5 linked regions of the Mus musculus genome follow. The protein of the gene in region 1 interacts with the protein of each later gene in a pairwise test. Links are inferred from orthologs where the notes say so. Each region holds a gene or a part of one and is shown in the gene's direction. Other genes may lie near its edges.

Region 1 (4,505 bases):
TTTTACTATTCTGCTTAGTATAATGGATAATTAATTATTGTTGATATGATGCTTTATACACTCATAAACAGAGTGAACACTTTCTACTTTCTATCAGTGGCCTTCTGTGGTTAGTATGATTTGATATGTAGGAAACATTTAAGACATGGAATTTCAAAGCCAAAGTCAAGTGGAGGCCAATTGGACATGCCCTACAAAGCCTTAGTGAAGAAAAAGATGTTCATATTACACATCATAGAGGCAGACCACTTTTTATCTGTGGCTTAATGTAGCATGTTCAAATGTTTAAGGTTAAAACAGACTTACTCTGAGTAGGAAATTGGACTTCTCTCTAGAAAGATTCAAAGGAGGGTAGGAAAGATAAGAAGTAATAGAACTTTTGAATTTTATTTGAAATCAGGCAGCAAAGAGAAAATTAAAAACCCTTAGCTGGTGTGTAAACATATGCAAACAGACCTGAATATTGGGTCAACGGAAATGAGTTAAGAGCTCACTCAGATGAGTTGTCAGGGTGAGGAGAGTAATGTGTGGTATTGTCTTGCCGTTTTGAGATGCACAACCATTACACTGACCCTTAAGAAATACAGGACAGGGTAAGATAAACCTAGAACAAAAGTCTTTCACACATGCTCCACTATGTTCATAGCAGCCTTATTTATAATAGCCAGAAGCTGGAAAGAAACCAGATGCCCCTCAACAGAGGAATGGATACAGAAAATGTGGTACATCTACACAATGGAGTACTACTCAGCTATTAAAAAGAATGAATTTATGAAATTCCTAGCCAAATGGATGGACCTGGAGGGCATCATCCTGAGTGAGGTAACACATTCACAAAGGAACTCACACAATATGTACTCACTGATAAGTGGATATTAGCCCAAAACCTAGGATACCCAAGATATAAGATACAATTTCCTAAACACATGAAACTCAAGAAAAATGAAGACTGAAGTGTGGACACTATGCCCCTCCTTAGAAGTGGGAACAAAACACCCTTGGAAGGAGTTACAGAGACAAAGTTTGGAGCTGAGATGAAAGGATGGACCATGTAGAGACTGCCTTATCCAGGGATCCACCCCATAATCAGCATCCAAACGCTGACACCATTGCATACACTAGCAAGATTTTATCGAAAGGACCCAGATGTAGCTGTCTCTTGTGAGACTATGCCGGGGCCTAGCAAACACAGAAGTGGATGCCCACAGTCAGCTAATGGATGGATTACAGGGCTCCCAATGGAGGAGCTAGAGAAAGTACCCAAGGAGCTAAAGGGATCTGCAACCCTATAGGTGGATCAACATTATGAACTAACCAGTACCCCGGAGCTCTTGACTCTAGCTGCATATGTATCAAAAGATGGCCTAGTCGGCCATCACTGGAAAGAGAGGCCCATTGGACACACAAACTTTATATGCCCCAGAACAGGGGAACGCCAGGGCCAAAAAGGGGGAGTGGGCAGGTAGGGGAGTGGGGGTGGGTGGGTATGGGGGACTTTTGGTATAGCATTGGAAATGTAAATGAGCTAAATACCTAATAAAAAATGGAAAGAAAAAAAAATTAAAAGAGAAAAAAAAAAAACTAATGACTTCCACCTTGCTTTTTGATGCCCATCATGTTCATTTAACTTTCTCTTTACGGTCATCCTTGGGAACAGTCTATTTGCTCCTATAAACATGGACTGACTGGTAGTGACAGAGAATCTGTTTATAAAGAAGCACTAGCTCTCTGAGACACTGGAGAATAAGACATGACAATGGGTAGAAAGGAGAGAAGGTGGGGGCGAGGGGAACAGGAAGGTCCAGATTGCAGGAAGGAGCAGGAGGAGAGTTGGAGGGTGTAGGGTAAGAGTCCATGCTGGGAATGGAAAGCTAGGGGAGGAGCAGTGTATTTTGGGTAGCAGGGAGAGACAATTGAAAGGAAAGGGCCCTAAAGAGAAAAAGAAAATGATACAGGAAGTCTGCGTAAGACAGCCATGTCATTAAGCAGCATCCAGGACGCCCACGTGCCTATCAGCAGCCTGCAAAGAAGAGTAGAGATCTTGTGTGCCACTTCGCCCTCGCCAGTCAGTCCTTGTGTGGCTCTTGTCCCCCTGTCTTATGAGTCAACCCAAAGCAAGTTTCTATTTTCCCCCTAAGCTGTCTCAGTGCCTACTATAGTCCCCTTTGATTATCTGGCGGGCACACCATCTCCCTGACTGATCCTATGGCTTTGTGACTAATCAGCAGGATATTAGCTCAAGGGATGCAAGACAAGCTCTTAGCAGGCCAAGAATGCCCAGTTACCTGACATAGCACAAGCTAATGGGTCTTGTAAGGTCAAGAGCTCAAGGGCCCTGCATACTTGCTGGAAATACTTCCATAAGAAGGAGAAAAGAAAAGAGAAGAAGAGAAAGGAGAGAAAACGATCTTGCTATGAAACAGAAATGACACATTTGGGCTCTTTGAATTCATCAGAGGGGCGTAAGAATGGCTTTGTGGGTTGCTATAGAAAAGCCTTACAGGACAGAGCACTGACTTCTAACCATTGAGATTTTCTTTTCCTTTGACTTTCTAGGTAGAAGAACGCTCAAGACTCAACCGACAGAGTTCACCTGCCATGCCTCACAAGGTTGCCAACAGGATCTCGGACCCCAACCTGCCCCCAAGATCAGAGTCCTTCAGCATTAGTGGGGTTCAGCCTGCAAGGACACCCCCAATGCTCAGACCTGTTGACCCCCAGGTATAATAACCTCTTTTCTGTTCCAGTGGACACTTGTGCCCAGGAAAGCTTACTAAAAAGCCTACAGTATTCCAGCATGGCAGAGAAGTGTTGAAGCAAAGACCCTTAGTATAAAGTCCATGGGAACAGAACCCTCTCTGCATTGTGAGGCTCCAGAATACAGACAGGAAGCATGGAGCTAATGACTTTGAGTCGACTTCAAAGTCACTCTCAGTAAAGTGGCTCCTGTGGAGACCCTTGCAAGTGTTGAAGAGTACAGGGTGGGAACAGCCATTCTTGTAGTTACAATCAGAAGAATTAAAATTCATATACGGACCTTTGAGGTAGAATATACATGTATTCTTCCCTTCCTTGAAATATGGGTAGAAATCTGAACTGGAGAAATGAAATGGGATTGGTGGAATCAATGTGTGCCTTCTAAGCCAGCATTTCTCCTGGCATGCTCACCTGGCAGCCAGCAACATCCGATGAACTTGGTAAAAATGCATATTCCTGGGTCTGCTTCAGACTTACTGACCAGAGATGCAGGGTTGGCTCCGGTAGTCTTTAAAAAGCCTTCCAGGTTGGTTCTGGTGCCCTTTAGGGACTGAGAAGCACTGCATGAAGATGTTTGGTGGGGAGAGATTATTTTGTCATTAAGAAAGGAGCTTTCTGGTATGTTCTTCAAAGATGAAATTCAAAGTGAAATAGAAGATGGAAATTCCATGAGGGGAAAAAAAAGTAATCCAACCTTTCTCACCCAAATATCTTACATTTCTTCCTGGCACCCAGCTGTGGTAAGGCTTCTCCAGTGCATTTGGAGGTCACCTTTGAAATATGAACTGCTGTTTGAATTAAAGGTTAAAGGAATAATGATAAAAATCAAGGCTTTCTTGCATTTTAAGTTAGTGGTAATGAACAAAATGCAAGATTTTTCAGCACCAATGAGCTCAACATACCTTCCTCTGGTTGTTTTTATCTGCATATACTTCTCTTTTATAGACGCTCCAAAAGGGGAGTTTTACAAGGGCTTCTCTTCTTTTAAAAACCTCCTACTTTGATCTTATAATGAACCCTTCCCTTGTTAAGGAAAGCACTGTGGGGAAATGCCCCTTCTGAAATGATAAGGAACTAAGAGTAGACTCTCTGGGAAAGCCTTCTCTGGTGCTCCAGGGTTTTAGGGGGTGTCTGGAATGATCTTCTAAAGTGAGAGTGGGTTTTGTACTAGATACTGCAATGCATTTTGTTTTAATGTTATGCATTGTATTTAATGATATTTGCATCCATGTGAACTTTACAAGGCCTATTCAAAACACTCAGCAGAACAGAGCTTTGAGGATTCTTCCAGCATGTCTCTGTGACATTCTAATAGGCACTGTAGACCAAAGTGGGTTTGGCAGGGCCTTGTATGAAACCCATAGGAAGCCGAGACTGCTTGAATGAGCAGTTTAGTCAGGAAGCACTCTAGATTTTTTTTTTCCCAGCCATGATCCATGTGAGCTAAACCTATGGATGGACCCGGGCTCCCATGAGTGCAGTATACACCCAGAGGTAGAGGACCGGCTTCAGTATTCACAAAATGCAGCACAGGTGGAGGTATCCCTTGCACCCTAGACTTTGATGCTTTTTCTTAAGAGGTCAGATAAAAATCCCAAACAGTACCACATTGCCTGAGTGCCAAAGAAGCATCCTGATACCTGGAAATGGTGTGTGTTTTTAGTGGGGACATCCAGTCCTGTGGAAATCAGGTGGCCCATTTGATAAAGTGCTTTCCATTTAAAAACCCAAGTTCGATCCCTAGAAGA
Region 2 (5,230 bases), on another chromosome or scaffold:
AAAAGAACTTATTCACTCATCTGATTAAATATTAAACAAGATACCAGGCAATATTAAATATTTCAAAAGATAAAATATGAGAGGTGGGTGAATTCTTAGAATCAGGGAGAATCAGGGACAATTTAATTTAATGAATGTTTCTTGGCTGCTTTTGGATATAAGTGATAGGATCAAGCCTCTGTCTCATGCTGTCCATAGTTTTGACTATAGAATCCAAAAACTGAAACTCTGGACATAACCTTTTAAAGATTATTTGATTTAGTTTCTTGTGTTGATGAAGAAAAAAAAAAAAAGAACTAATCCCTTAAGGTCATTGGTTTATGTTTTTTAAAAAAATTTCTAGGGATAAAGATAGCCCATCCCAATACAAAGAGCCTGGCTTTGGTACTAGATAGTAATGGTTACATGAGTTACACATCAAACCTCAGGCCTTAACCCATGCAACATCTAATCTCACAAAGCCTCACAGCTATGTCAATTCTATAATGTTTTCTTTTCTTTCTCTCAGCAAGTACTCTCCTACTGAGCTGTCTCTTCACCCTTTTAAAAGTGATAAATTTAAAAACATTTGAGTTTTCCAGGTAGCCCTTAAACTTGTGATCCTCATTCTTCAGCCATTCCATGCTGGAATAAGGGATGTGTGCTTCCTTCCACCCAAGGTTTGCTCCATTATTATTTATTCTTGGAGACAGGGTTTCTCTATGTAGTTGTCTGTCCTGGAATTCACTGGGTAGAGAAGGCTCTTGAACTTGGAAAGATCCACCTGTCTCTGCCTCCAAAGTGCTGATATTAAAACACCATGTCCAGCTTTAAATCATTATTTTAAGATAGGGTCTTACTATATACACCATGCTGGCTTCAAACTCGTGGCAAGTCTCCTGCCTCCGTCTCCTCAGTGTTAGCATTACAGATGTGAGTCACCCTAGCTTGTTTATTACTATCATCATTGTTTTTTGTTTTTTATAAAAAGGATGCTCCTGAGGCTTGCAGAGAACTTCTGGGCTCTTGCTGGTCTCCTGCCTCCTGAGTAGCTTGGGCTACGTGCCATGTGCCACTTTGTTTGGCTACTGGGTTTATTTTATACTGATACTGAGGCCAAAAAGAGATATGATAATTTAGTCAAGGTCACATTCCCAGTGGTGACACCAGGATTCATACTGGAGACATTAACTCTGCAGCTTCCCAAGTGATTTTTACAGTATTTACCTTCATCGAGGGACGCAATAGAATCAGTTAAGCCTCAGTGCTGGAAAACACAAGTGGATAATGAAGTAATCTCATTCAATACTTAAATATCCTATATTGAATAATTCAGAGCCCCAAACCTTCCCTTTCAAAAATCAAGTGTCTCTTTGTGGAATAAATTGACATCAAATCCCCCCAGATTTGTCATCAATATACAATTCATAATATAATAAAACACAGACATGTCTTGTAGAGAATAAAGTTCCAGGTCTTTCTGTGGATTTCAGTTTCCAGAATCTCTGATGAATACATGTGACTAAGGAAAAGAATAGCTGAATCACATCTACAGGCGATTCCTTCCGATTAAAAATCTGTACCAGAAAGGAACACAAGGCAATCCATCTGCCTTTTAACCTCAACAGCTCTTCTGCCCAAGCCCACCAATTTACTTTGGTCCTTTTGGGTGGGTGGGTAGGTGGGGGATGGGGAATAATCCCACAGGCTAAGGCAGAAAGGAAGCATCCTGGCTTGGCTCCTGCTCTAGCCAGCAGGGGCCGAAATGCCAGTGCACCGGGTACCCGCGGTCCGCCGGGACAGCGCAGTGACCGCTGAGGCAGAGCAAGAGTCGTGATGGACGCCAGCCGTCAGGCAGTTTAGAGCAAAAGGGAAGCTTCCCAAGGGATCAGGGGGCAGAAGCGAGAAAAGCCGCGGACGGGACGCAAGCTCGCCGGTCGGCTCGGGTACAGCCGCCAGCTCACCCTGCGGAAGGGCGCGCGGCCCAGGCCCAGGCCCAGGCCCAGGCCCGGCCCGCGCATGCGCCGCGGGCCCTCCGCTCCCCTCCCTCTTCCTGGCGGGTCTGGGGCGGCGGCGGCGCGGTGACGTCAGGGCGTTGGGGCAGCTCCTGTGACAGACGGAGCTGGAGCGGCGGGGCGGCGGCGGAGTCCGGCGGCCGAGATAGCGAGTGAGGGAGCGAAGGAGCAGCGAGCCGAGAGTCCAGGGAGCGAGGAGGACCCGGAGGGGAGCGCTCAGGCGCGAGCGAGAGGACGAGCGAACGCTGGGCTAGGGCTCGAGCCCCGGAACGGCCGAGGAGCCCGCCCGCGGCCCTCCCCTCCCCCTCCCCGGGACCGGGCCCAGCGCGCCATCCTCCCCCTCCCTCCCTCCCTCCCTCCTTCCTCCCTTCCCTCTCCCTCCCCCTCCCCCGCTGGTGGATGGGAGTGAAGGACGGAAGAGGCCCTGCGGAGGCGGTGGTGCAGCGCTCCGGTAAGGCGGCGACGCTCTGCGCCCTCCCCTCTGTCTCTTCCATCGCGCTCGGGTGGCTGCGGGCCGGGCCGGCGGCCTGACGATGTGGCTGCGCCGGTCCCCTCCCTCCCATTCTCCCCTCCCCCTGCCGCCGCTGCCTCCTCCTTCTTCTTCTCCTCTCCTCGCTCTCAAAATGGCGGCCGCGACGGCCGTTGAGTGAGAGGCACCGAGGAGGGGGCCCTGGCCTGGGAGGGCGCTGCCCTGGCTCCGGTTCCTCCGACCCTGGCAGTGGGCTACTCAGGCTGCTGAGGGTTCAAGCCGTGGCCTCTCGGGCGGCATCGCCCTCCTGCCGCCGTGACTTAGCAAGAAAAGTATTCTTGGGTGGGAAGGGCGTGGATAGCAGGTCGCTCTCTGATCTTGGGGAAAGGGCTCAGCCCTCCTGGGCCGCGGAAGCGAACCCGCAGTCCCCACCCCTCCTTGGCTGGCGACTCGCCGCCGGGGCTCCAGCAGCTACCAGGCCTTCCAGGCGTCGGGTTCTCCGCTTGTCCTTAGGTTGAGGGTGGACCCGGGGAGGATGGCCCGCCGCTCAGGCCCTCGGCCCCCCGGTGCGGTGGTGGTCCAGCCTCTGCATTCAGTAAAGATCTGCAGCATCCACCCACCGAATCGGGCAGGATTTTCCTTTTTGCTACTGACTCCTCGCACGGGAGTTGTCTTTTGACGTTGCTAACACTGAGCTCCCAGGTTCTCGATCATTCCCTTCATCCCATCTCTCCACTCCATTAGGAAACGCTGTGACTATTTACCCTCTCTAGCCTCCCAGGTGAGAAAATGTTTTTTTGAGACGGTGGGCTGATTTCGTCTCCCAAGAGGAAAGAATTTCAGTCTTGAGATAGGAGAAAGCAAGGTGCCTGGCTTTATTTGTTATCCTGCCTGCTTTTTCCAGTGACTTAGCAAGAAACTCCTTGGGAGGAGCGCAGGAAATTTTCTGTTGAGGTTGGGTTTGGGTGTAATTCCTATCAGTATTTTTGGCTAAGAAATTGTGCCTTTGAAGAGTACCAGATTTGTGGTCTCATTCTCAATGGGCGATGTCATGTCAAGGATACCTCCTCCTCACCCCCCCCCCCCTTTAAGAGACAATTGGGAGAAAATAAAATTACTGCTTTTCTTACCTTTAATTTCAAACACACCCTCCTAAAGATTCACAACCTTTAAAAGATCCAGTAACATAAAGGTCATTTTAGCAATTCTCTTTTTGTTGGGTTGGCTTGTTTTGTGTGAAATTTCTTTTCTGGGGGTGGGATGGTGGAGACTTTGTTTGGGCCTCATGCCAGTAATATTGTCTTCTCTCTTCATTTTGCCACAGCAGTTGTTTGCTGTGTTTCCCCCTGCAGTAGAGCTTGATTGCTGCAGGATTCAATCCCTTAATTAGGAATATTCTTAGTTGGATATGCTAGTAATACTATGCTGAATTTACATTAAAAGCTTTAACTTTAAAATTTGATTTGGTATTAAGGCTTTAGCAAGCTTTTATTTCTAATATGTGTCTTTCAGGACATAGTTGTGCAAATAATTGGCAGTTACAAATTGTGTTTTTTTATTAACACAGAATATGAATTTAGAGTAATTTACTCCTTCACGGTCTATTTAAAAGATCATTGTTTGATTTCAGAGGGAAGGATTTTCTGTAATATATTTAAAGCTGCTGGTATATATAATTTTAAGAGTCAGAAAGGAAACCAGTTTTTTCGCAAAATATTTGTGCATATGTTGGTTTTGACAGAGCATACCCTGTTTTGGTACATCCTCCCACCCCCTTAAAAATGGGCTAATATTTGTGGCTGCTATAAGCAGCCATTGAGCCGAGAGGACTGGGTGGAGTAAGGGTGCGCCAGCAAAGCTGTGAAATGCTCAGTTGCCCTTTCACTGGGTTTTTTTCTCATCCTTAATGATTGTAAGGTTATTCAGTATTAATTGTAGGGACAATTAAGGCATTTCTCTATAGTGGATCTTAGAATCTCAGTTTTTCTACCTTTTTTTTTTCTTCTTCAAGAAGGGCATTGAGTAATTGGAATAAAGGCAGTATCCTTGCTCTGAAACAAGTACTTACTGTCCATGTGTGTGCATGTATTAAAAAAACTCCACATATGCTCTGGCTAGTTTTTTTTTTTTAATTATTCTAGCCAAATGGGTGTTAAATTAATGAATGCTAGGGATATTTGGCTACAAAAAGCATGGTATAGTGAAAAAAAAAATCTAGTTAAGAATACTAGTTTTCACTAAAATAGTTTTTTTTTTTTCTCTTGATGAACATCAAAGATGAGAAAATAGACAGTGGTTATTTTGTATTAAGAGCTCTTTAAATAGACCTTTTCTCTTGTGTTGCTTCTTGCATAGGACCTTTTCTGTGATAAAGAGCATAGCTCACTTTAGTTTCTTGTAAAGAATTGTAAATATGACAATGTAATTCTAATGAACCTTATGAGTGTTGTAACTTTGTATTTACATTTTTTGCTATTTTTCCATGTCCATTATGAAGTAGAAAGGCTATTATGGTGATGGATGAGAACATTACTATATTGTGTCTCAAATATCTTTAGCCCTACTCTTCCTAGTTAAGAGTGGTGAGCCTCCACCCCAAGCCCACGGCCACCCAGGAGCTTACTGATAATTTGATGGAGAGTACAAATGTGCTTTCATTCCTGGTACTTTCTCTGAATCTTACTTAATTTGATGGAATCAATTTTAAAAATCACAATTTTTTTTTTTTTTTTTTGGAGGCAGGGTTTCTCTGTGTATCCCTGGCTGT
Region 3 (5,022 bases), on another chromosome or scaffold:
CTGCGTCTCGGATCCCAAGCGCACAGGCGAGGGTCTCCGCGCGCACCGGCCGGAACCGCCTTTGTCCTGCGGGCCAATGGGTAGCCTGCTTGACTAAATAAGGCGAGGAGCGCGGCCCGGCGCCCCGTCCGTTACGTCCGCCCCCGTGACTCAGGGCGGCCACTGGCCTCCCGGCGGCGGGCGGAGCGCGGGTCGAAATCGCCAAATATGGCCGCGCGCCGCCCGCCGCCCCTGCCCCCACCCGCACACCTGAGTTGCACCTTGGTCCCGCGGCGGGACAAGGCGCCCCCGCCGGGGGAACCCGGCCTTACATGGCCGTTCCGTGCTCGCAGCGCCTTCTGCACACAAGCAGACAAAGGCGTCTTAAGAGAAGGCTCGGATTTGAGGGCCAGGCCCCCGGCAGTACTTCTTGGGTAGCCATGGGCGTGTCAGAGGTGTGAGTGCTCACCGAAACCTTCCACTTTCCCCACGACTCTCACCCCCACCTACAAGTGTTAGTTAGCTGTTAGCTCCTGTAGGCTCATGGTGGGGTCCTGGAGGTCCAGCCCTGCATCCCCCTCATGGGTGGTGCTCCCATTTGACAGGCACCTCTGTACAACCACAGGGCCAGCGCCCTTCTTTCTAGGCCTGATGTTGCACAAAAGGTGACTGAGTGTTGGCACGGGTTTATGGCCAGCAGGTAAGCAGGGCAGGCTGCTTGGTCCCCCTGGGTCTTGTGTTCATGTCTCAGATGGGGAGCTGACCTTGCAGGGCTGCCTGAGAGCGCCTGTGCATAGGGTGGGAGTGGCACCCCGTACCTGCTCGAATCAAGCTCTGTGCCCTGTGACCTTGGAGTCCCTCACCTCACTGCTACCCTCCGCTTCATTCCACAATGAACCATTCCAGAAGCTTACAAATAAAACCCGGTTAACTCCCGTGCCAGCTTTCTCTTCAGGCACCATCTAGGACGGCAGCGCCACGACCCTGCTAAGGGTGACAAGTTTCCAAACAGCCGGGAGAAGGGCAGCGAGGCCGGCCCGCCCCCCACGCCTGTCCGGAGGGGACTAAGGCCTAAGCATTCTGTGCCCAAAACCAGTTTGACCCGGACTTCATAATCAGTGGAGAGGAGTCTCGCCAGCTGACCCACGCGGGGGGCGGGGCTGGACCATCCTGAAAGTCGGGAGACTTCCCCTGCCTCAGTTTCCCTACAATGTGTCCCGCAAAGCCAGCATAACACAATGCCCACTCACACCACCACCACCACCTTCTTTGATGCCCAGGGACACCCAACCCCGTGACGACCCCTCCTCCAATAAAGGGACATGGCTGAAGTGGAAGAACTGGTGACCCTCTCCCACGTGACTGGGATGTGATGGCCGCTCCCCGGACCCCCGGGAATCCCTCCAGCCCGTCCCCAGCCAGGCACACACGGACCCTGTAGAGAAAGGTCCTGGGGGGTGTGCGGGGCACAGGATTCACATAGGGGCGGGGGCCACGGGACTCACCCCAGATCGGGGCGCGGCCCGCCCCGGGCTTGGCAGTTTCGGGGCGCAGCCCGGGCCCTCCCTGCTACGCGGCAGTCCCGGGGCAGGGCAGGGCCGATCGCACGCACGCCACTCGCCGAGACCCCCGCGAGCAAGAACCGGGCCTCCCGGGGTCGCGAGCGCGCGGGGGCGGCGCGGGCGGGGCCGTTGGCGGCGGCGCGGGCCAGGGGCGGGCGGGCCCGGGCCCCACGTGTCCCTGGCGGGCGGGCCAATAGGCGCCCGGCTTTTGGAAAGATCGCCATATATGGACATGTTCTGGGGCCGCGCGCGCCCCCGCCCGCGCGCGCGGCCCGCTCCCGCTTAAATAGCGGCGGGGGAGGCCGCGGTCGGTCTCACACTCCGCCGCCGGCTTACACTGCGCTTCTTGCCGCTCCTCCGTCGCCGCCGCGTCCTTCGCCGGTAAGCTGCCGCTCCCCGGGCTTGGCCCAGTGACTTCCTGTGGCCCTTTCTTCCCGCTCACCCTGCCTGCCGCACCGCTGCGGAGCGGAGCGGAGCGCAGGGCGCCTGACGGGTGGGCCTGGGTCTGCAGCCGCGGCTGGGGGCAGGGCGGGGCCCGACGCAATGCGCAGCCCCTCCTCGCCGCGGCGGAACGGGGCGCTGCCGGTAGCCGACGGTTACGCCGCCCGGGGTGGGGACTGCACTCCTCCGGGGTGGCTCGGCCCTGGCCGAGGACATTTTCTGAGTTCGGTGAGGGCTGCGCTAATTCCGGGGCTTCTTCCTGCGCAGATCGCAATGGAAGAAGAAATCGCCGCACTCGTCATTGACAATGGCTCCGGCATGTGCAAAGCCGGCTTTGCTGGCGACGACGCCCCCAGGGCCGTGTTCCCTTCCATCGTAGGGCGCCCCCGACACCAGGTTAGTTGAGAGGAGTGGCCTCCCTTGTGTTCTCTCTGGGCCCGGGTCGCGCGGTGGGTGGGGCGAGTCTGACCGCGGCCTTTTCTCTCGCAGGGCGTCATGGTGGGCATGGGCCAGAAAGACTCATACGTGGGTGACGAGGCCCAGAGCAAGAGGGGTATCCTGACCCTGAAGTACCCTATCGAACACGGCATTGTCACTAACTGGGACGACATGGAGAAGATCTGGCACCACACCTTCTACAATGAGCTGCGTGTGGCTCCTGAGGAGCACCCGGTGCTTCTGACCGAGGCCCCCCTGAACCCCAAAGCTAACAGAGAGAAGATGACGCAGGTATGCTTGAGCCGGGACCTTGCCTCCCCTTGGGCGTGACGAGTCATTTTGTGTTGTGCCTCATTTCCTGACATTCAAGCGTTTCTTTGGTGTTTCTAGGGTTCTGTTCCTCTTCTCCTGGCATTTCCTCCCTGAAGCCTCCAGGTTTCTGTTTGCGTTTCTGCTTGCGTTCTGTTCTTTTTTTCTTCACACATCACATTTGTGGCATGCAGCATGCAGAGTGTGGGTGTGGGAGGCTCAGGGCCCCTGCTACTCACTCACTCAGGTGTTCTTTGTCTTTCCACAGATAATGTTTGAAACCTTCAATACCCCAGCCATGTACGTGGCCATTCAGGCGGTGCTGTCCTTGTATGCATCTGGGCGCACCACTGGCATTGTCATGGACTCTGGTGACGGGGTCACACACACAGTGCCCATCTATGAGGGCTACGCCCTTCCCCACGCCATCTTGCGTCTGGACCTGGCTGGCCGGGACCTGACAGACTACCTCATGAAGATCCTGACTGAACGGGGCTACAGCTTTACCACCACTGCTGAGAGGGAAATTGTTCGTGACATAAAGGAGAAGCTGTGCTATGTTGCCCTGGATTTTGAGCAAGAAATGGCTACTGCTGCATCATCTTCCTCCTTGGAGAAGAGTTACGAGCTGCCCGACGGGCAGGTGATCACCATTGGCAATGAGCGGTTCCGGTGTCCGGAGGCACTCTTCCAGCCTTCCTTCCTGGGTAGGTGTCCACAACATGATTTAGGAGCCAAGGGGCTCTCAGAAGGGATGGAACACACAGAATGTAGTGGCTAAATGAGCTCTGTTCCCTAGGCATGGAGTCCTGTGGTATCCATGAGACCACTTTCAACTCCATCATGAAGTGTGATGTGGATATCCGCAAAGACCTGTATGCCAATACAGTGCTGTCTGGTGGTACCACCATGTACCCAGGCATTGCTGACAGGATGCAGAAGGAGATCACAGCCCTAGCACCTAGCACGATGAAGATTAAGGTGAGTGGCTACCACCCGGCCTGAGCTGGCCTTAGGACCTGTGGCTGGGAAGTGGGACCCACAGGAAGGGCATGAGTGCTCATTCAGTGTTTTTCCTCCACAGATCATTGCTCCCCCTGAGCGCAAGTACTCAGTCTGGATCGGTGGCTCCATTCTGGCCTCACTGTCCACCTTCCAGCAGATGTGGATCAGCAAGCAGGAGTATGATGAGTCAGGCCCCTCCATCGTCCACCGCAAATGCTTCTAGATGGACTGAGCAGGTGCCAGGCATCTGCTGCATGAGCTGATATTGAAGTATCAATTTGCCCTGGCAAATGTACACACCTCATGCTAGCCTCATGAAACTGGAATAAGCCTTTGAAAAGAAATTTGTCCTTGAAGCTTGTATCTGATATCAGCACTGGATCGTAGAACTTGTTGCTGATTTTTGACCTTGTATTCAAGTTAACTGCTCCCTTGGTATATGTTTAATACCCTGTGCATATCTTGATTTAGTCCTTAGTTCATGTGGCTCGGTCACTTGGGGGCTGGGGAGAGCACGCTGTAGATGAGAAAGCCCCAGCCTGGTGGATCTCTGTGAGCACCACTGAGTGATCTGTGCAGGGTATTAACCAACAGCAGACTTCCAGGATTTCCTGAGGCTGGCAAGGGTTCCTGAACCAGTTACCACTCCTTCTTGCCAGTCTAACAGGGTGGGAAAGTCCGAGCCTTAGGACCCAGTTTCAGTTCTGGTTTCTTCCCTCCTGACCACCATCGGTTGTTAGTTGCCTTGAGTTGGGAACGTTTGCATCGACACCTGTAAATGTATTCATTCTTTAATTTATGTAAGGTTTTTTGTACTCAATTCTTTAAGAAATGACAAATTTTGGTTTTCTACTGTTCAATGAGAACATTAGGCCCCAGCAACACGTCATTGTGTAAAGAAATAAAAGTGCTGCAGTAACTGACCATTGTTTTTCTGGTTTGGCACAGGGCTGTGGGGTAGGGTGGAGTTGGGAAATGGAAAGGTGTGTCTGGTTGCCTAGCAGCAGAAAGCCTTCCCATTGGTAAGAAAGCCTGTACCCCAGCTTAAAGCCAGCCATGCTTGGAGCAGATTGTTCACTCCCTGCCACATTCTCAAAGGGTAAGGAATTAGGCCAGACAGGCAGCCACAATGAAGGGCCTCACACAGAAGCATTGGTGAGGAGAGCAGGCAGCTCTGGTGTTATCAAGTCATGAACAAGTAAGGAATGTAGCCATGGTCAAAAGAGAAGTAACCTAGATGTCTTAACAATTGCAGCCTTTAAGAGGCCATGCAACATTATTCCTCTAT
Region 4 (5,038 bases), on another chromosome or scaffold:
CTTCTAGAAGCAGAGATTAGAACTCCAGTTCTCTGTTGGATGCACACTCTTCAACTCCAAGTGCACTTGGGAGACAGAAGAAGGGTCTCTGTAAGTTTGAGGCTAGCTTTGCCTACATAATAAGTTATAGGGCAGTCAGAGCTACATAATGAGACCCTGTCTCAAACAAACAAAAACAACTCCAGTTCTCAGTTCTTACGCGTATAGCAAAAAAGGTGGTACATGCCTTTAATCCCAATAGTTGGAGGCAGAGGCAGGCGGATCACTACAAATTTAAGACCAGCGGCTACATAGAGAGCCCCAGGCCAGCCAAGGCTACACAGTGAGACCAAAGAAAGAAAGAAAGAAAGAAAGAAAGAAAGAAAGTAGGAGGGAGGGGATGAATGAATCAGACCTGGAGAAAGGGTAAGTGGAGCATAAAGACAGAAACCCGCCAAAGAAAAAAGAACAAACCTGGGCCAGCAAGATAGCTCAGTGGATATCCACCAAGTCTGACCACCTGAGTTAGATCCCTGAGACCCATTCACGTAGTCAAAGGAGAAATTCAGTTCCCACAATTTACACACACACACCTATGGAATGATAGGAATAACTTTCCTGTTTGAACAACAGAAACAGTAAAATGCTATGAGTGACAATGTTGCGCATGGTGACACAAAGCATCCACTGTCTGAAGACAGGTAAAACAACCACTGACTTAGTGCTGGGGAGACGCTTGTGAGCACAGCTGCTGGCCACTTATCAGGACCACCTAAGCTCAATCCCCAGACTATACAGGCAAAGCAAAGACCAGAAATGCTGTGTAGCGCACCAACACCCACCCACACCAATTAATAGAGAAAACTCTTCTATAAAAAGGAATCAGGCCTAAAAACCCACAGGTCCTTCCAGAAATACAAATAGTGATGATTACATACTTTGGAGAGTCTCTCTCCCCGAAAAGAAACCTGAGTTCAAGTCCCCAAACCCTGATTCTAATTCCAAAATCCAACTATGTCTGAAAATGTTTCTCTGAGCTTCATGTTACGGTAAATTCACCTGATGGGCATAAACTCAGTTCATTTATAGTTTGGGGGAATAGCTGTATCGATATTTTCCAAATTCTAATATGTTCAAGATTGAGAAGAAACCTCATATAACTCAGTTGCTATATATCCATAGAGGTCATTTAACCCTATGATCTCCGCTCACTCAACTGTAAAATGGAGATAAAACTCTCAACTTCTGAGATTTCCTCAATAATAAACGCTTAGGGCAGTGCAAGTACAAAGTGGCTAATCAATAAAAAAACTAATTGCAGGACTGGAGTGATGGCTCTTTTAGAGGACCTGGGTTCCACTCCCAGTATCCGCAAGGTGGCTCACTACCGGCTATAACTCCAGGATCAGGGGCTCCAACGCCCACTTCTGGCCTAGGCGGGCGTATACACAGAGCACACATGCATGCAGGCAAAATACCCATACTCATAAAAGAAAATAAAAAAATAAAAACCAATTGTAATAATACAATAGAAACCACGAGTCTAGACTTTCAGGCTAGGAGGCTCCACCGGGAAGGAGCCGGCTCAGGGCGGCTCACCTGGCTATGACAGCCGCGGGTGCACACAGTGCTGGGAGGTCGCAGGAGCTGGCCGAGCAGCGCAGCCCAGGCCCTGCGACGCAGTGGCCCCAGGTGGGGCATTGTGCTGCAGGACGCCGGCTTTCTGGAACTGAAGTCAAGGGACTGGGAACGAGGCCAGTCCGATTTCTGGAAAGCTACCGAGAGCTGGAAACACCTGAGATCGGAGTTAGTTCGGATGGTGGGATTGAACACCGAGGATCTCACGCTCCCTGACCCGGAAGTGTTCCCTCCACCTTCGCCAGACACGCTCTAGGCACGAAAGCGGGGACTCGGTAACCGGAAGTCATCCGAACCTAGGCTGAGTCCACCAAGGCGGGTTTTAGACAGCCGTCAGTTCCTGCTGGCAGGCAGGATGGCAGATCGTGCTGCTCTGGAGGAGCTGGTACGACTCCAGGGAGCGCATGTGAGGGGCCTTAAGGAGCAGAAAGCGTCCGCTGAGCAGGTAGGTGCGACTCGGATGGAAGGAGAGGGGTCGGGACAAAACCGGAGGAGCATAGAAGGTGATCTGGCTGGAGGACAGACATGTGGATGAAGGAACCAGGCTGGTAGAGTGAACGGGGCTGAGTGAGGAGATAGCTAGGGTGGGTCCCGAGAGAAGCGAGGCCTAAGAGAGAGGAGGATCGAGGGGACGGGAGGGAGGGGAGTGATGAATGGTCAGTCCAGCGGCGTTTTTCCCTCCACAGATCGAGGAGGAGGTGACGAAACTCCTAAAACTGAAGGCACAGCTGGGCCAGGATGAAGGCAAACAGAAGTTTGTGCTCAAAACCCCCAAGGTAAACTATTCCTGTATGAGGCCTCAGAGAGAGGCCCTGATCCACAATCAGAAATATTGCAGAGGAGCCAGTAGTTGGTGGGGTAGGCACTGGGCTGGTTTGAACTCAACCTGAGTCATTCGGCGATGGCAGTGATGACAGAAACGAGGCTGATCAGGGGAGACAGCCTGCTAACTGCTACTCCTTTCATTCATTGTGTAGTTATTGAGTAAGTCTATGTGGGTGTCATTGTGCACTGAATACACCATACTGGATGCCTGCCGTTTCGAGGCTTGCATTCCACTAAGATTCAGGGCAAATAATCCCACCCAGGAATATGCTGTTACAAAATATGAGTGGTGATGTGAAGAAATTTAGGGCTGGAGAGATGGCTCAGCAGTTAAGAGCATGCAGAGGATCCAAGTTAGATTCCCTGCACCTACATCAGGTGGTTCACAACTGTCTGTAACTGGCCTCCATAGGCACCTGCGACCACACAGTCCTATAACCATACACCGATACACACTTGTGCGCACAGTGTATAAAGAGCCAAACTGAGGAAGTGACATGATGGACCTCTCAAGCAGGTTAGAGACAGCCAGGGAAAGGCTGTTAGAATCATAAGCTCGGCAGAGATCAGAAACTCTGAAGCAGACAAGAACTGTGATACTTCCTAGGAACTAGAAGAAGCCGCACAAATAGAACCAGGTAAAGTTGGAGATGCTTAACTCAGCCTCAGGACTTCGATTCAGATGCTATTCTGTAACTTCTATAAACAGACCTCTGCACCTTTACTGGGTTCCCTTGGCATGTCATACATAGTTCTGTTAATGTACTGGCTTTGAAGTTTCACTTTGCTGTATGTGTGTGCGGATCTCTGCAAGTGAGTATGAGTACATGCAGAGGCCACAAGAGAATGTCAGATTCCCTGGAGCTGGACTTACAGGCAGTTGTAAGCCAAGGTGCTGGAAATTGAACAAATTAACGTCTCTGGAAGAGTGCCAAGAGCTCTTAATCCCTGAGCCATCTCTCCTGCCCTCTGCAACAATATTTAGTAGTTTATTCATGTTATTTAATGTAATTTCTTACTAACTACGTTAATTAATAATGAGTAATGCAGTATTATTTAGTAGTTAATTCAGTTTATTTACCAGAATGTAAGACTGGAAATAAACATATATTTGCTAGGCAGTGGTGGCGCACACCTTCGATCCCAGCACTCGGGAGGCAGAGGCAGGCGAATTTCTGAGTTCGAGGCCAGCCTGGTCTACAGAATGAGTTCCAGGACAGCCAGGGCTATACAGAGAAACCCTGTCTCAAAAAATAAAAAAATAAAAAAACAAAGCAAAAACAAAAAATACAAGCCCTGACCAGCCTCAGACTTTTTATACATACATACATACATATATATCAATCAGAGACTGTATATATGTATGTATGTATGTGTGTGTATATATTACATATATATATCAGAGACTGGCTTTGAAATTTTGATCCTAACAGGTGCTAGAATTACAGGCATGTACTACCACACCCATCTCTCACAGTTCTTTTTCAGAGACTCAAGAGAAGTTTAAAATCTCAAAGAAATGGGGGCTGGAGAGATTGCTCAGAATTAAGGGTGCTCGCTGTTCTTCTAGAAGAGCTGAGTGGTTGAGCACCCACATACAGCAGCCCACACCTGCCTGTAATTCCAGCTGGCCTCCAAGGGCATCTGCACACATGCCATTAAAGAAATGATCAATAATTTGCTCAGAGTATTGAATGGAGAGAAGATAGGGAATTTTTAATCGAACAGTCCCTCCACACCTCAACCCAATGACCAGTCTTAATGTCACTAAAGCAGAAGCAGCAGATATTATGTCCCTGCAGATATGATGCAATAAAAATTACACAGCACCACCTATGAATTCTCATCAGGGGAATTTGAATGTAATTAGGCCTTTAGACTAAGGTGGAGAAACACGGAGTGGAGAACAGGTTAATGACTCATCGGTGGTATTGGTGACTGGATCCAGAATGTAATAAACTTTTTGGGACAAATATTTAGTTTCTTCAACAAATAAATAATGTGATAGAGGTGGGAGTGGGGGATTAAGAGTGTGGCTCAGTATTAGAAGACCTAGAGTTCCAAATGAGACACCACAAAAGAAGAACAAAAAGGAAGAAAAAGAGCTGTTGCTGATTAAATGTATATATCATCTAAAAATAAGACGGTAAGAGTCTGATCAAATAAGGTAATCATGAGAAGTTATTACTGAGGTAGTTGGGGGAAGTTGAACACGGCTTGATCTTAGATAGTATTAAGGGATTCCACAGCTATTCACTTTCCTTATGGGAAATGGTATAGCATTTGCACGTATCCTATACACATCCTCCATGATTAAGTCATCTCTAGGTTACTAATATCTAGTATAAGTAGTTATTGCTCAAAGATAGTGACATGGAAAAAAATCCATATGTTTAGTATTGGCAGAATTTTCTTTTAACCTTAAGTATTTTCAGTGCACAGTCTATTGAACCTATGGATATTGAACCTGCAGATACAGAGAACCAAAACCAACTGTGATTCACACTCTTTGCACTCACCATTAAAACAAATGGGACTGGAGAAATGGCTCAGAGATAGAGCACTTGTTGCTCCCCCACAGCACTCAGGTTCAATC
Region 5 (5,092 bases), on another chromosome or scaffold:
GTCTGGGCTCTCTCTGCTTGAGCAGTAAGCAATACTCAGCAGATCAGATCCGCCTCATACCCAGCCCCCTCACCCTCCACCCCCGCAGCCCGCAATGCTGCAGTTTCACATTCGAGATCCAAAAGTTAACTCCTTAAACGAGCCTTTTTTCCTTTTAAAAACTCGCTTCTATCTTAAAATGTATGGGCTGGGAGCTTATAAAACTACAAAATCAAAGCCTCAGAAAGGGAGGCGTCTGTGATTACTTACTGATGACTACAACTCTGTCACATAATGAAGCAGAGGTTAGAGAATATATGCCCGAAAAGGTACAACAGTCTGCCTTCTCTGCTTCCAAGCGCTGGTTTATTCTGACCCACAGTAAGCATTTCACAACGCCCACTCCTTCCTGTGACACCCCCCACCCCACCCCCACCCCCACCCCCGCAGGACTGCAGTCCATCTCTCACTTTCTCTGTCAAGACTCTGAACTTTTTCACTCTGAATCTTCCCAAACTGTAATCCAAAATAGAAGGACATTTTCAGTTCAAATATACAGTCAAAGGAAACCCCTGTAGAATGTTTGTTTAAATAAGCATGCTTAAGGGATGGTGGGTCCAAATCGGTCATCAAAATCAACATAAGGAAATAGGTTGCGTTTTTAAATGGGGGCAGAGGGACCACCTGGCTTATTCAAGACTGAGATGAGGCTGTCCAGTTACCTTTCAATTAATTTAAAACTAATTCAGTTGCCCTGTCGGTTGTAACAGTACACGTAAGTAGTACCCAGACAGAAAGATGACTATGCAGTTTTCAAACTTAACATACACACTATCTCCCTGGGTTTTTTTTTTTTTTTCATCTCGGATTTCCCCTTCCCGGTGAGTAGTTGACCTTCAAATTTCAGGCCTTGTGTCTCCTCCTTCCCTAACATCCCTCACTTATTGGTAAAGTCAAACTGGGTTTCAAGTCTCTATTTTCCTTAACTGAGTTGAATGGCTTTTAGTTGATTTCAAAATCTGCAGTCTGTTCATTGTGCCAACTCTGCACTGTCTTAGTGTGGGATTTCCAGCTTGTTCCCTACAAACAAACAGCCCCTACAAACAGGTTTAATAGTATTCACTGGAGGAGATGAGCCAGAAGTGACCCTCCTCTGGACTCTGGTAGGCTGCGAACCCAGCAGAATCCCATGGGCACGCCTGGGCGCTGTCCTTGGTGCTGCCGGATCCTTGGGCGTCACAGCGCCTTACCTGCTGGAAGCTGCAGTCGTCCCCCAACAGTTAAGCAGACTGGAGTGCCACTTTCCACTTTTAACACAAATGACTACCCCGGCCTGTCTTCTTTGTCCCCTTTCCGGAGGTTTCCGGCGGGCCATTCCTCAAAAACTCTCTCTTTTTTTTCTTCTGCATAACTCTCAGCTCATCTCTTGCTGCTTTAAGACGAGGAGTGGGGGGGGGGGGAGACAAGAAAGACAAGGATGGATGGGGGAACAAAAAGAGAGTTGGGGGTTAAGGGGTGAAAGTCGAGGCTGCAAAGAAAAAAAGTCCCAGGGGAAAGGGCTTCAAGGGAAATGCCGGATGAAGAAAAAAAAAAAAAAGTAGAGGGAGAAGGGCCTCGTGGAGAGGTGGGAGGGGTGTGTGTGATAAAGAACAGCGGACCCTACGGCCAAAAGTAAGGAAGAAAGAGACTAAGAGGTAGGGGGCCAGACGAAAGTCAGGAAGCCAGAGAAGAGCTGCTCAGAGGGCCGAGAGTGGCGAGACAAAGAAAGGGCGCTGGGAAAGGGCACTTGCGCCAAAGCTGTGAACTGCAAACTGCTGGTGAAAAAGCAGAGAAGGGCAAGCTACCGGGTGACAAGAGGTCTGGAACTCAAGGGGACGCTAGGAAAAGGCCGGCCCGGCGACACCCAAGTGTGGGGTCCAGTGTGGTGCGGGCCCACGTGGAGCGGCCGCTGAATCACCGCAAGGCTTGTCTCCCCCTTCCCCCCACCCCCGGCCCGGTACCCGCAGTCCCCGCCTCCTCGGCCGCCGCCTCCACGGGGCGGGGCCCTGGCCCGGGACCAGCTGCTCCGCTATAAAGGGGCTGCGGCGAGGCCGGCAGAACGCTGTGACAGCCACACACCCCAAGGCCTCCAAGATGAGCTACACGCTGGACTCGCTGGGCAACCCGTCCGCCTACCGGCGGGTCACCGAGACCCGCTCCAGCTTCAGCCGCGTGAGCGGTTCCCCGTCCAGCGGCTTCCGCTCGCAGTCCTGGTCCCGCGGCTCGCCCAGCACCGTGTCCTCCTCCTACAAGCGCAGCGCGCTCGCCCCGCGTCTCGCCTACAGCTCGGCTATGCTCAGCTCGGCCGAGAGCAGCCTCGACTTCAGCCAGTCCTCGTCGCTGCTCAACGGCGGCTCCGGCGGCGACTACAAACTGTCCCGCTCTAACGAGAAAGAGCAGCTGCAGGGGCTGAACGACCGCTTCGCCGGCTACATCGAGAAAGTGCACTACTTGGAACAACAGAACAAGGAGATCGAAGCAGAGATCCAGGCACTGCGGCAGAAGCAGGCCTCGCACGCCCAGCTGGGTGATGCTTACGACCAGGAGATCCGAGAGCTGCGCGCCACCCTCGAGATGGTGAACCACGAGAAGGCTCAAGTGCAGCTGGACTCCGATCACTTGGAGGAAGACATCCACCGGCTCAAGGAGCGCTTCGAGGAGGAGGCGCGGCTGCGGGACGACACCGAGGCTGCCATTCGCGCGCTGCGCAAAGACATCGAAGAGTCGTCGATGGTTAAGGTGGAGCTGGACAAGAAGGTGCAGTCGCTGCAGGATGAGGTGGCTTTCCTGCGGAGCAATCACGAAGAGGAGGTGGCCGACCTGCTGGCTCAGATCCAGGCGTCGCACATCACGGTAGAGCGCAAAGATTACCTGAAGACAGACATCTCCACGGCGCTGAAGGAGATCCGCTCCCAGCTCGAGTGTCACTCAGACCAGAACATGCACCAGGCCGAAGAGTGGTTCAAATGCCGCTACGCCAAGCTCACCGAGGCGGCCGAGCAGAACAAGGAGGCCATTCGCTCTGCCAAGGAAGAGATCGCCGAGTACCGGCGCCAGCTGCAGTCCAAGAGCATCGAGCTCGAGTCGGTGCGAGGCACTAAGGAGTCCCTGGAGCGGCAGCTCAGCGACATCGAGGAGCGCCACAACCACGACCTCAGCAGCTACCAGGTAGGAACCGCGGCTGCGCGGCCGGCCTGCGCCAGCGCCAGCGCCGCGCGCCCCCGACACGACACTCGAGAGCGCGCCCAGAGGCCCTCTTGGTCGCGCTCCCTGGTGGCCGCATTCCAGTGCGCGCACGAGCTTCGCAGACGCGGGTTAGCCAAAGCCCAAGGTCTGTGCTCCGCCCCTCCTCCTTGTCCCACCCACTTGCCGCAACTACTTAGAAATTCCCATCTCCTTCAAAAACTTGCTTTCCTACGATAGATTTTACTGTAAAAGTAAAAAGGCACATTCTGGTCGTTGAGAAACACACCGTTTAATAAGCAGGAGCACAGATAGTCTCTTGTATTCCTGCCTCCTTCTTCGCTCCCCTTCCCCTCCCCCACCCATATCTCCACCCCTCCTCCTCACCCCCTTACTCTCCACTCCCCCCCCCCCCCGCCTCCAGCCGCGATGGGCGGAGCTCTCAAAGCTGGCTTCAGTCCAAAATTTGGGCGGGGATTGGGGGGGGGGCAAAGTCCGCTAGGGACCTTCCTCAGATTCCTCAGTGCTCCCTTCTAGGGGCATTCTAGGCTTGCCAGTCTCCGTGTGTGTTGTGCCTAGGAACTGTCTGGTTGATTTTTGTTGCTTTGTTTTGAATTTTACTATCATAAAAGAAGGAGGGATAGCTAGGAGGGATGTCTGCGAGGCTCATGGGACTGGCGGGGAAGGGGGAATTCCGGGGGTGGGTAGGAAAGGGCTCGGGGCAGGGAATAGCAAGTGTCTTGTGAAGGAAGTTTCTAGAGACTCCCTGTACCTTTCAGGACACCATCCAGCAGTTGGAAAATGAACTTCGGGGAACCAAGTGGGAAATGGCTCGTCATTTGCGAGAATACCAGGATCTCCTTAACGTCAAGATGGCCCTGGACATCGAGATCGCCGCGTACAGGTACAGGATCTCTGCAGACTTGGTCCAGACCCTACAGGCACTGCAGAGGCTGCTGCGAACAGCCTTCCCCACTTAAACCAAAGCTGGCCTAGTGAGACAGGCTCAGAGCCCTGACTCCCCAGCTCAGTTACGAACAGAATCCTAAGTATTACAGATACAGGTTTACCAACCTACTTCAGCTTTAAAGAGTGACTACGGAGAAGATCGGGGAGGAGGGTGGAACTGGGGGAGGGAACCAAAATATATTGTATGAAAAAGCCCAAATATGCACCAAAGAATAGTACTTTTGAGTTGCTGGGGGCGTAGCAATAGGTTTAAATTTTTGTTTCAAGCGTCTGTATGTCTGACAAGCAGATGAAGTTTTCATTTTTAGTATTTCATCTGATGGTTCTCTTTTATAAAGCCAAGGACAAACACCAGGTCATGCTTCTCTTCTCTTTCTGTTACAGCTTACTGTTGCCATCCTCTGGCTGAGACTAGATATAGGCACACTAGAATATAGGTGCACTTACTTTAAGTCTATGGATAATATACATGCATTCAATCTGGATAGAAATGTAAATTTAATATATATTTATCTACATATGTAAAGTGTGATACCCTCATATCTAGATCTAGACAAGCGTGTATGTATAAAAACATATAGAACTAGACATATAGGCAAATATAGGTTTGATCTCTTTATCTGTAAACTGGTTCTATCTAGGTCTCCTGAGTAATGCTGTCTTTCTGTTGGCCAGACTCAAAGCATACAGCTCTTGAGGAGGCAGTCACTTCCTGTAAGGCTGTTACAGCAAGAATAAGCTGCACTGTCTTTTTAAGGGAACCAAACGACTGTACCAAGAGACATTCTGTCACTGAACAAATTATAATTTGCTTCACCTATATTCGTATGTAGCTATAATTTAAATTCATCAACATTCTGACTTATGCTCAATAGTTTTAATTTTAAATTGAACATTTTATTTGCTTTTAAAACTCATAGAA

What was found.
Region 2: the proteins of Tnik (region 1) and Pafah1b1 interact in a two-hybrid assay, tested with the Homo sapiens proteins (2 studies listed by BioGRID and IntAct). The link is inferred for Mus musculus from reciprocal best matches to the Homo sapiens genes TNIK and PAFAH1B1.
Region 3: the proteins of Tnik (region 1) and Actg1 interact in a two-hybrid assay, tested with the Homo sapiens proteins (2 studies listed by BioGRID and IntAct). The link is inferred for Mus musculus from reciprocal best matches to the Homo sapiens genes TNIK and ACTG1.
Region 4: the proteins of Tnik (region 1) and Hars interact in a two-hybrid assay, tested with the Homo sapiens proteins (2 studies listed by BioGRID and IntAct). The link is inferred for Mus musculus from reciprocal best matches to the Homo sapiens genes TNIK and HARS1.
Region 5: the proteins of Tnik (region 1) and Nefm interact in a two-hybrid assay, tested with the Homo sapiens proteins (2 studies listed by BioGRID and IntAct). The link is inferred for Mus musculus from reciprocal best matches to the Homo sapiens genes TNIK and NEFM.

The regions. Positions count from the first base shown.
Region 1 is NC_000069.6:28,601,620-28,606,124, forward strand, and holds part of Tnik (traf2 and NCK-interacting protein kinase), read left to right. Parts: intron 1-2,556; coding exon 2,557-2,721; intron 2,722-4,505. UniProt on the Homo sapiens protein: Serine/threonine kinase that acts as an essential activator of the Wnt signaling pathway. Recruited to promoters of Wnt target genes and required to activate their expression. May act by phosphorylating TCF4/TCF7L2.
Region 2 is NC_000077.6:74,721,214-74,726,443, reverse strand, and holds the start of Pafah1b1 (platelet-activating factor acetylhydrolase IB subunit alpha), read left to right. Parts: upstream 1-2,059; 5' UTR 2,060-2,445; intron 2,446-2,585; exon of another isoform or gene 2,586-3,244; intron 3,245-5,230. UniProt on the Homo sapiens protein: Regulatory subunit (beta subunit) of the cytosolic type I platelet-activating factor (PAF) acetylhydrolase (PAF-AH (I)), an enzyme that catalyzes the hydrolyze of the acetyl group at the sn-2 position of PAF and its analogs and participates in PAF inactivation.
Region 3 is NC_000077.6:120,345,325-120,350,346, reverse strand, and holds Actg1 (actin, cytoplasmic 2), read left to right. Parts: upstream 1-1,851; 5' UTR 1,852-1,922; intron 1,923-2,249; 5' UTR 2,250-2,255; coding exon 2,256-2,378; intron 2,379-2,471; coding exon 2,472-2,711; intron 2,712-2,810; exon of another isoform or gene 2,811-2,855; intron 2,856-2,933; exon of another isoform or gene 2,934-2,997; coding exon 2,998-3,436; intron 3,437-3,528; coding exon 3,529-3,710; intron 3,711-3,813; coding exon 3,814-3,957; 3' UTR 3,958-4,660; downstream 4,661-5,022. UniProt on the Homo sapiens protein: Actins are highly conserved proteins that are involved in various types of cell motility and are ubiquitously expressed in all eukaryotic cells.
Region 4 is NC_000084.6:36,780,035-36,785,072, reverse strand, and holds the start of Hars (histidine--tRNA ligase, cytoplasmic), read left to right. Parts: upstream 1-1,867; 5' UTR 1,868-1,972; coding exon 1,973-2,062; intron 2,063-2,303; coding exon 2,304-2,393; intron 2,394-5,038. Other genes in the region: Hars2 (histidine--tRNA ligase, mitochondrial isoform 1 precursor), read right to left, coding at 1,579-1,680. UniProt on the Homo sapiens protein: Catalyzes the ATP-dependent ligation of histidine to the 3'-end of its cognate tRNA, via the formation of an aminoacyl-adenylate intermediate (His-AMP). Plays a role in axon guidance.
Region 5 is NC_000080.6:68,121,834-68,126,925, reverse strand, and holds the start of Nefm (neurofilament medium polypeptide), read left to right. Parts: upstream 1-1,921; 5' UTR 1,922-2,112; coding exon 2,113-3,186; intron 3,187-3,980; coding exon 3,981-4,105; intron 4,106-5,092. UniProt on the Homo sapiens protein: Neurofilaments usually contain three intermediate filament proteins: NEFL, NEFM, and NEFH which are involved in the maintenance of neuronal caliber.